Rattus norvegicus: one gene and its partner. The protein of the gene in region 1 binds, or shares a complex with, the protein of each later gene. Links are inferred from orthologs where the notes say so. Each region holds a gene or a part of one and is shown in the gene's direction. Other genes may lie near its edges.

The links. Proteins that work in one complex are often made in the same cells at the same time.
Region 2: the proteins of Itgam (region 1) and Ptn are in contact, whole or in part, in an NMR structure (PDB 8VOH), measured with the Homo sapiens proteins. The link is inferred for Rattus norvegicus from reciprocal best matches to the Homo sapiens genes ITGAM and PTN. Residues at the interface, in NP_000623.2 of Homo sapiens: Pro273, Asp276, Arg277, Gly279, Val280, Ile281, Arg282, Tyr283, Lys306, Pro307, Arg309, Asp310, His311, Ala334, Ile335, Glu336, Gly337, Thr338, Gln339; in NP_001308315.1 of Homo sapiens: Val56, Pro57, Thr58, Ser59, Asp61, Cys62, Gly63, Leu64, Thr66, Glu68, Thr79, Lys81, Thr82, Gln83, Arg84.

Annotation. Positions count from the first base shown.
Region 1 is NC_086019.1:192,105,991-192,110,702, forward strand, and holds part of Itgam (integrin alpha-M precursor), read left to right. Parts: intron 1-169; coding exon 170-323; intron 324-1,801; coding exon 1,802-1,952; intron 1,953-2,638; coding exon 2,639-2,712; intron 2,713-3,172; coding exon 3,173-3,302; intron 3,303-3,554; coding exon 3,555-3,697; intron 3,698-4,712.
Region 2 is NC_086022.1:66,338,955-66,344,207, reverse strand, and holds the start of Ptn (pleiotrophin precursor), read left to right. Parts: upstream 1-1,875; 5' UTR 1,876-1,940; intron 1,941-5,253.

The DNA of each region.
Region 1 (4,712 bases):
CAAAAACAAAAACAAAAAAAACCCAACAAAACCAAAACCAGTCAAACTCAGTAGGGGAGACAGCCCCACCCAGACAGCAGGCTCAGTTCCTGTGATCCTAACTGAAGCTGTCTCCTGCCGGAGGCTGGCGTCTCTGCATTCGTGCGTCTGCCATTCTCTTCTCTCACAGGAGAGAACTGTTTCAGAAAATCAATGGGGCCCGGGACAATGCCGCGAAGATCCTAGTTGTCATCACAGACGGAGAAAAGTTTGGTGACCCCCTAAATTATGAGGATGTCATTCCTGAGGCAGAGGAAGCAGGGATCATTCGCTACGTTATTGGGGTAGGAAATACAGATATCGGGCTTGCTACCTCTGTTGAGACTGGAGATTTTCTACCAATGCATTTTGTCTTCAATGTGCAAATATTGGTAAAATTAAAGGAAGACTCTCACGCAATAATGCTGTATGTGTAACAAACAATTCCAAGTACAGGGGTTTTATAAGTCAGCCTGTCAGTCAGCAGGTTGTTTCCTGGTCTCAGCAAGACTCACTTACATGTCTGCCATTAGCTGCAGGCTGAGGACAGATCTGCTGGGGTTGTCTTTGCTCTCCCCACTTGTGGATGATTTATGTTTGTCTGCTGGGAAGATGGCCTTGCTGGGAACAAGTTGGGTAACTTGGCTCTACTGCCCGCTGGGTCTCATTTTCCAGTGGCCTCACCGGGGGATGCTCTCATGACAAAGACAGAGGGGAGGGAGTAGATATTGCTGGCGTGGTTTTTTTTTTGTTTGTTTGTTTGTTTGTTTTTTAACAAACTTCTATTTGTATCACATTTGGTAGCAACCATGGCTGACACAAAGACAGTGAGTGGGGCAGGATATTCCATCAAGGTGGGCATGGCAGAATTTGGGAGAAATGTTTGGGTCCAGAAAGGTAAAATGTTAGATCACCAATGTAATTACGCTTATGAGCCACCTTGAATAACAGAAAAAAGCATCATAAACCGATAGTGTGGCATATAAGAAGGACCTTCACATATAAAAATGCTTCTCTTGGGGCTGGAGAGACGGCTTAGTAAGAGCACTTACTGCTTTTCCAGAGGACCAGAGTTCAATTCCCAACACCCAGGTCAGGTGGCTCATAACAGCTTGTAACCCATCTTCAAGGGATCTGACAACTCTGGCTACAGACACACAATGCACGTGCGTGCGCACATACACACACACACTGATGTACACATGCACACACACACATGCACAGGCACACATGCACACACAGACACACAGAGACACACAAATACACTGACACACACACGGAGACACACAAATACACACACAGACACACAGAGACATATAGAAACACACACATACACACACACAGACATATAGACACACACACGCATGCACACACACACACACAGAAACACACATATACAGAGACACACAGACAAACACATACACATATAGACACAAAGACACACACACAGACACACAGACATACACACACACATACACACACAGAGAGAAAAAGGTAGACTTATAAGCAAAATAATAATAAAAAAAGGAATCTCTTTTGCTGGCGAGATGTCAGCCCCATACCAGGAGGAATGGCATAACAGATGGGTGGCCATCTGGAGACCACATTGCTCCCCATGCTCTGTGCAACCTGCCTAACTGTCCCCGACAGTCCTGTTCTAAGAAGCCTTCTGCTGAACTCTTTATGGGACAGAAAGAGTTTCAGATTCTTTCATCAAGGGATTTTCTTTGCTACACGGGACTGCTACCATTAGAGAACATATAACTTGATTCCTTGGCAACAGGTGGGAAACGCCTTCCACAAACCACAGTCCCGCAGAGAGCTTGACACCATCGCGTCTAAGCCAGCTGGTGATCACGTGTTCCAAGTGGACAACTTTGAAGCTCTGAATACCATTCGGAACCAGCTCCAGGAAAAGATCTTTGCAATTGAGGGTGAGCCGGCCAGTGCAGACCAGCGGTTCCTACTTAGCATCTGGACCCCAGCGTCAGCTCCTCTCCAGCCATTTGGGTCTGACTTGCTCCATCCTTTTGAATAAGCAAAGCTAGATTTTTGTCTTTAATTCTCAGGTCTAGGGTATACGATGATCAAACTGTAGCACAGTGGATTCAAATCCTGCACAATGTTTTACCAAGAATTTATGTCTGCTATGAGCACTGTTTGACTTACTGTCACATCTCCTCTGCCTGGTGTGTGCTACAGAGAAATGGTCAACAAGGATTTATTGAATACATTTACAAGTTTGATAAATGTTTAGAGGGATATATTTTTGAGTTCTAGTCTTACCTTGTAGTCCAGGGTGACCTTGAACTCTTGGTAGTCTTGCCTCAGCCTCTCAAGTGCTACACGTATGTGCTACCACACCTGACTGAATAGGGCACTCCACATGTCACCTGGATCTATGGTTTCTGTGGAAAAGTTGGAAGGTTAAATATCTGGAGGACCCCATTTTTCCTTGGAAAAGGTAGCAGTGACAGAAGGGCTGCCATCCCTGTGAGGTGCATGTGTTTAGTTCAACACCAGAGCCTCCCTTTGCGTGGTGACGATAGCATTTGAGGTTTTGGGTATTTGGTCTACGCTTTTCTGCTTGCTTTAACAAGGGACATTTTCTTCCTTACAGGCACCCAGACAGGAAGTACCAGCTCCTTTGAGCATGAGATGTCTCAAGAAGGCTTTAGCGCTGCCATTACCTCTGTGAGTGGTCCTGCATCTGGCCTCTTTGTTCCCAGAGATAACGACTCTGAGGCTTAGTTACATGTTAATAAATGCTTAGGCCATAAGCTTCAGCTTGTTCCCCGATTAGCTCAGTTAATTATATAACCCGTTTAAACTAGTCTATGTCTTCCACATAGCTAGTTACCTCTCCTTCAGTCTCATGCAACCGTCTCCTCCCGAGTTCAGGGCGAATCTTTCCAGCCTGACTCTCCCAGAATTCCCCTCCCTCTCCCTGCCAGATGTCCTCCCTCCTAATCCTGCCTTAGATCACCGACCATAGCCTTTTTATTGATAGACCATGCTTCCATATGTCATAGGGGAGATTCTCATGATGGAGGCTCGAGGGTTTGGGGCAGGGTTTCATGGGGGAGGCTTTTTGGTGGGCACCACTGGTCCGCACTTCCTTTTTCTCTCAATCCTGTTATGCTCCCTTCCCCAGAACGGTCCCTTGCTGGGCTCCGTGGGGAGCTTTGACTGGGCAGGTGGAGCCTTCCTGTATCCATCAAAGGATAAAGCCACTTTCATCAACACAACCAGAATAGATTCAGACATGAACGATGCTTACTTGGGTAAGTGCTCTAGGAAGGGGTGAGGATGTGACATCAGTCAGCTGACATGGAGGCCATTGGCTCTTTTGCTGGCCCTTGGGATAGCCGTAGAGATTCTTTTTTAAACATTTACTTTTAGTTGTGTTCACAGTAATTACACCGACACATCAAGCATGGGGATGCTCTATTCCCTTACTTGAGAATGGCCCTACCGTGGAAAGGAGGGCCAGGTCTGCAGTGAAAACACTTGGCCTACTAAAGCATTCCTTTTAGGTTATGCTTCTGCAGTCATCTCGAGGAACCGCGTCCAAAGCTTGGTTTTAGGGGCACCTCGATATCAGCATATCGGCCTGGTGGTGATGTTCAAGCAGAATTTCGGTGCCTGGGAGCCCCACACTGATATCAAGGGCAGCCAGGTAAGTGTGGAGTGTGTGAGGCATGAATACAGAGACATCCAGAACTGAGAGAATCTAGGACAGAACAGTGCCATGTGTGGCCGTCTTTGCAGGGCTTTATGTTAGAGTCCCAGGCCAGCTTTGTGTATGAGAATGCTGTGTGCCTTTGACTTTTCTTCCTTTTGCTGTGGTACTGGGGTTTGGACCCAAGACTTCACACGTGCTAGGCAAGTGCTTTGCCACTGAGCTATAGCCCTGTGCTAGCCTCGGCATTTCTAGCGGTAACTAGTAATATTTAACCTGTATAGAGCTTTCTATGACTACCTGTTTCTGGAGTTGGCATTCAGCTAGGACATAACCAGTATAGCCACACTAGATGTTAAAATATGGAAACAATTCCATATTTGTTGATGGGCTGGGGAGATAACTTAGACATGAGTTTGATTTTCAGAGACCACATTAAAAATTTGGGGAGGTGGAGACAGGGGGATCTTTTGAGCTTTCCTGGCTAGCCAGTATACCCTACTTGGTGAACTCCAGACCAATGAGAGACTCTGTTTCAATAAACACGGTAGCTAGTTATCGAAGAATGACCCCTAAGGTTGACCCTGGCTTTCTCTCTCCCTCTCTCCATTTCTCCCTCCCTCTCTATCTCTGTCTCTTTGTCTCTGTCTCTTGTCTGTCTCTTTGTCTCTGTCTCTTGTCTGTCTGTCTGTCTCTCTCTTTCTCTTTCTCTCTCTCTAACACACACACACACACACACAGACACACACACACGCACAGGCACCCCCATACACATACACATAAAAATACTGAAGTAATTCCACATCTGCTGATAAGTGGCTGTTTCTCTAAGATGCCTCATGTGGACAAACTGGTGTCAAAGTTCATGGGGAAATGTAAAAGACCCAGAATAACCAAAACAATCTCAAAAAAGAAGTATGCTTTCCAATGCAAAATTTATAAGACCCGGTATGGTACTCTGTGCAGAAAAATCTCAGTATGCAAGAGGGTGAGGTAGGAAAATTATCAGTTT
Region 2 (5,253 bases), on another chromosome or scaffold:
GAGGAAAAGGACAGTCTTTCTGTCCTGTTCTTAGAATTCCATCGTTGTGGAACTGTAGGACTGTTGAACCTCTCTTACAGTAAGGGGGCTGGCCAAAGAAAGCTTGTGAGTAATTCATGATGTGCACAGGTGAAACCGGATGCACACACATGCACTGCTTCATGGCACAGGTGAACTTTCAAACAGGGACGTGCACAGTCTGGGAATTGGTCTTGAGGAAGGTATGCGTGAAGAGGATAGTCTGTAAGGAAGACAGATCAGGTGTGCAAATGAATTTCCGCCGATTCTTTCCTTGGGGGACATGGGGAGGTGGAACAAACCAAGACTGATGGACTAAAAGCTCTACTCCTGCAGGGACACCTTTGTCTGGAGATGACTCTTGTGCACTGGCACAGGTATCAGTCAATAGAAGACCCGCAGTCCTTAAAACTGCTTGCCATAGACTAATGGTTCTAAATTTAGGAAAGGAGTGGTCTTGAGACCTGAGGGCTTAAAGCACCTATAGAATCCATAGGATCTACCAGTTGAGTTGACGAGATGTATCTTTGGGACGGTGAGAAAATTGGAGCCAGTTTTATAATTTGGACCTGTTTGGGTAAATTGGAGATTTACGCCATCTTTTCCCATCACTTTCTATGTGACACTCAATACTGGTCTGTCACTTTATGCTCTCCTTGGTTAAAGGAGAGGCAGATCTCAGAACGCCAGGAGTGTCCACCCTCTGAGTCTTAGAAAGCCCAGAGCTTGAGCCGCACTGATTATAACCCTGCGTTCTTTGCCAAGAGCATGTCAGTGTCACAAAATATGTGACCCCGGAGGCACCGAAGAAGCCAGGAATGGAAAAATCCCCTAAAGGAAAGTGACATTTAATTGGGAATGTTCAGAGATCTGTCACTCCTTGTGACAACCCAGAAAAAGTGCTTTGGGGCTTTGTGACTGTAGGTGAGCTGCAAGTAGCAACTGAAGTTAGCAGGGACTCCGGGCAGGGAGGCCTTTAGGGGTGGAGAGCAAGGGACAGCTGCCTTTGCACATCGCTCCCTCAAACCTGAATATCATGTTGTTGTTGTTGTTGTTGTTGTTTTCTTTTTAAGCGCCTGACCAAAACTGCAGTTTAAAATGCAATCAATTTTCCGATTAAGAAATTAAGATATCGGGGCTGGGGATTTAGCTCAGTGGTAGAGCGCTTACCTAGGAAGCGCAAGGCCCTGGGTTCGGTCCCCAGCTCCGGAAAAAAAAAAGAAAGAAAGAAAGAAAGAGAGAGAGAGAGAGAGAGAGAGAGAGAGAGAGAGAGAGAGAGAGAGAGAGAAAGAGAGAAAGAGAGAAAGAGAGAAAGAGAGAAAGAGAGAAAGAGAGAAAGAGAGAAAGAGAGAAAGAAAGAAAGAAATTAAGGTATCCAGATCGATAAGTCGAGGTGTGGACCCATGGGAGGGGGAAAAACCAGTGCTTGGGAGTTTGTACAAGAAATACCGTGCTGGGTGGATGCTAAGAACAAATGGTCTTATATCCCATGGTCTTTCTACGCAAATCCGTTTGGGGAAAGACTGCCCCCAGAGTAGCCGGCTTTTCATAAGCTTCCCAATCAGATTTCGGGGGCAAAGCACTCCCCCCTCCCTCGCACAGCCTGCTTCTTCTCTCTGCCCGCTCTCTTCCCTCCCATTCTCTATTTCCCTCCCCGGCAGGGTGTAATTGAGTGAAGGCAGGATCAGGTTCCCCGCCTTCCCGTCCAAAAATCCCGCCAAGGAAGCCCCAGAGCACAAGAAAATCCAAAGTGGAGAGAGGGGAAGAAAGAAAGCACTGAGTCATCCATCCAGAAGGGGGGAGAGCGCAGCCGCCCAGGCAGGAGCAGCAGCCAGCGATACCTGGAGTCCGTTGCAGAAACCTCGCCCTGCACTTTGCAACAAAGGCAGCCTGCTAGTCAGCAAGGACATCTGCAAGCCAAAGTAAGTGCAAGGCACCCTGTGGATTTCCCCCAAAGGGTCTCTGGTGGAGTGTGCCTACCCCAAAGCCACTTTTCCTGGCAGCCTGCAGTACGTGGGGGTTGGAACTGGAGAGAAGCTGCCTGGAGTCCGCTAAATAGGACTGCCTTTAAGAAACGGACTTGCTCCAGAAGGCAAACCAGCCGAACGGAAATTTGGGGGGACGAGTTCAGTAACCTAGCCTGTGCTTGGATGGGAAGAAGGAAAGCAGCTTTTGTGCTGAGGAGGGAGAGTGCATGGGGATGGCATTCCTGCTACCTGCTGGAGCATGCAAAGCGCGGGAGAGGGCACATTTGTGCTCTTTGTAAAGCCTGGAGCTTTTGGTGGGTGTGTCTGGCCCAGTCGGCGAGAGAGAAGGAAGGGTGTTCCAGCAGGCAGGTCTCATTTTCCTGCCTCCACTTCTCAGGTTGCCCTAGAGCTTGCCAACTGCCAACTGCTGCCCGCTCTAGGTGTGGTACATGCCTGGCAGCCTGCCCCTCCTGTGTCTGCTGATGGAGAAGCATCTCTCCAGAACAGCCTGCACTCCCTAGCTTGCCTGCCCGCCGGCCCAGGAATGCTTCTAGAAACAGTTCAGTCCAAAGTTTCAAAGACATGCCTTGGATTCTACCTTTGCTTGGTTGGGGTGCTAACTGGCACATGAGCACTTACATTTTCAGTTTTCGCCAAATAAACCAGGGATGTGGTAAAGACTAGTTTGGCAGACACACAGAATTTCTGAGGTGATATCCCAGTTGTTACCATAATGTATTTATGTATTTTGAGAACGTAGTCACTTCTTTTTTTTTGCGCATAAAACATAACCTTTCCTCTGTTCTAAAATGTGTGTGCGTGCACACACACACACACACACACACACACACACACATTTCTACAGAATATGATGTGGAACATAAATACAAGAGCACATGTGTAATTCGCACACAGATTGCTAACTAGTTCTTGTCTCCCTAGTAATAAGGACTTTGGAGCTGTAGGGGCAGAGTGAGACGGTGGAAGTAGAGTGGGTGCCTCAAGGAAGGAAAGAATGCTCACCTCAGGGGAGAACAAAGTAAGAGCATTCTAACGGGTCGACATCTTTCCTCTTGAAACTACCAGGCATAGTTTAAGAAAGTGTGTGTGTGTGTGTGTGTGTGTGTGTGTGTGTGTGTGTGTGTGTGTGTGTGTGTGTGTGTGTGTGTTGGAGGGAAGTGCCTGGGAGGCACTTCAGGAACTACCAAAGAAAAGCTTTTGAACTAACAACATAATGGAGCAATTTCACAGGCAAATGTGGAGCTGATGAAACGGTACAGCCCATTTTGGCCCTTTGATCATCTGGGAATGAATTGTTTTGTGAGAATATTAAAAGGTAATGAGAACGAAACAAAAGAGAAGTCGGCCAACACAGACTAGAAGGCTGGTCTTTTCCAGATTCATTATGTCCTTTTAAAGTAAATGATGTGCCTTCAAGGCCAAGCCATTAGAAACACTTATAGTCCAGTTCAATTCAAGGGAAACTAGGGTATCCTCCCACTCCTCTTTGGGACCTGTGTTATTTTAGACCACCAATAATGGTTATTTCTTATCAAAATGAAGTCACTTTATTTTAAAACCCCAATACCATGCTTTTGAACTATAAGAAACTTTAAAAAATTCTCTCATCAGAGTTAAAGTCTTTAGACGAAGGCAATCTTTCTCCTGCTGCTCACAGACCAGGTCTTTCTCACCTAGCAGACTGCCTTTATTTACAATGCCTTCTCCAGGCCCCACCCAGCTAGCTATAAACCCTAGCCCCTCTCTGGATCAAAGTGTTTCTTTGTGGCTCAAACACTTTATATTATCAGTGGTAGAGCTGTGAGAGAAACAGACCTACTGTTAACACGAAGTTTCGTCATCTGATTCCTAAATAATATCCCATGGGGGATGAGAATAGAATATTCTACATATTGTATTGTGTGTATTATATAGTATTTAATTGTAATCCAGAACCCCAATTTACCTCTTTAGTGAAAGTTTTATGTTTCTTTTTTCTTCATTTGTTTCTTTATTGTTTTCTTTGTTTCTTTTTTATTTTATTATTATTGTTCAAGATAGTTTCTCTATGTAGCCTTGGCTGTCCTGGAACTCACAATGTAGACCAGGTTGGTCCCTGACTCACAGAGATTTGCCTGCCTCTGCTTCTTCTGTTCCAGGATTAAAGGTATGCACCCTCACCTTCAGATAATTTCCATGTTTCTTATTTGGTCATTACAAACAACAGTCTGAAGCAAGATCTGAATTTTCTTTTTTGTAACCGGGTAATTGTTTCCTTGCAATTCAACGACATGGTTTGCATTTTCACAGAAACCTGTACACTGAAAATAACACAAGATCCCCAAATAGTTTGTTTCTATCAACAAAGTTAATCTTAGAAATCAAATATTTTAGGTTTTTAAGTTTTTATTTTCTCTTGCAGATATTTCTGATTTCTCATTTTAGTAGCAATCCCGCTTGGCATTCATGCTCTTATGCCTCTCTGTGTTCCCTGGAACACTCTAAATTTGCCCGAGCTGTTTGAGCTGCTGAGATGCTAACAATAGGCTGAAGTCAGAAGTAAGGTTACAAGTGGCAGCTCCCCAAACACTTGTGCTCTTAACATGGCAACATGGTAACAAGGGTCTTATCCTTGGCTCTTGTACTGATGATAAGGCCCAATTGAGACTACTCAGGGCAGTGGGGCAGCAAGGGTGCTCCACACCAAGGAGTTCCCCTGACTTCCTTTGAAGAGTGCTTTATACTGGCTCATCCACCAGGGCAGAGCTCTGTACGGCTTGTGACCCATGCTTTGTGGGGAAAGCTGGGCTGGGTGAGGACACCAGTCTCATGAGCAAACGGAAGAAGCACTTTTGTATCCTGTGGTACAGGCCGTGCTTTCTCCCTGGGAGTGAGGGTGAAGGAACATGTGGTTATGGGCTACTTCTTTGGGAGCTGGGTCTGTTTTTTCCATCCTGGGTCAATTGGCTTGAGGACAATTAGGGAAGTCTTCCAATTCTTGGTGATTAAGACTTGTCCAAGATACCATTGTGTTGGGCTATTTTTCTAGGCACTATGAGCCAGACTTGTAGATAGCAGTTTGCATGTTGCTACTACAATCTTTCTGGATCAGTAACTACAACAGGTCTTTCATGACTATGTGAGGTATTTGTTTAAAAGGGTAGCTATGAACAAACACCATTGAGGGCTTATACCTATGGCAACACTTGAAAATTTGATGATGCAGCTCACCTTTACTGTAATTCCTCATGGATTAAGGATAGGCAGG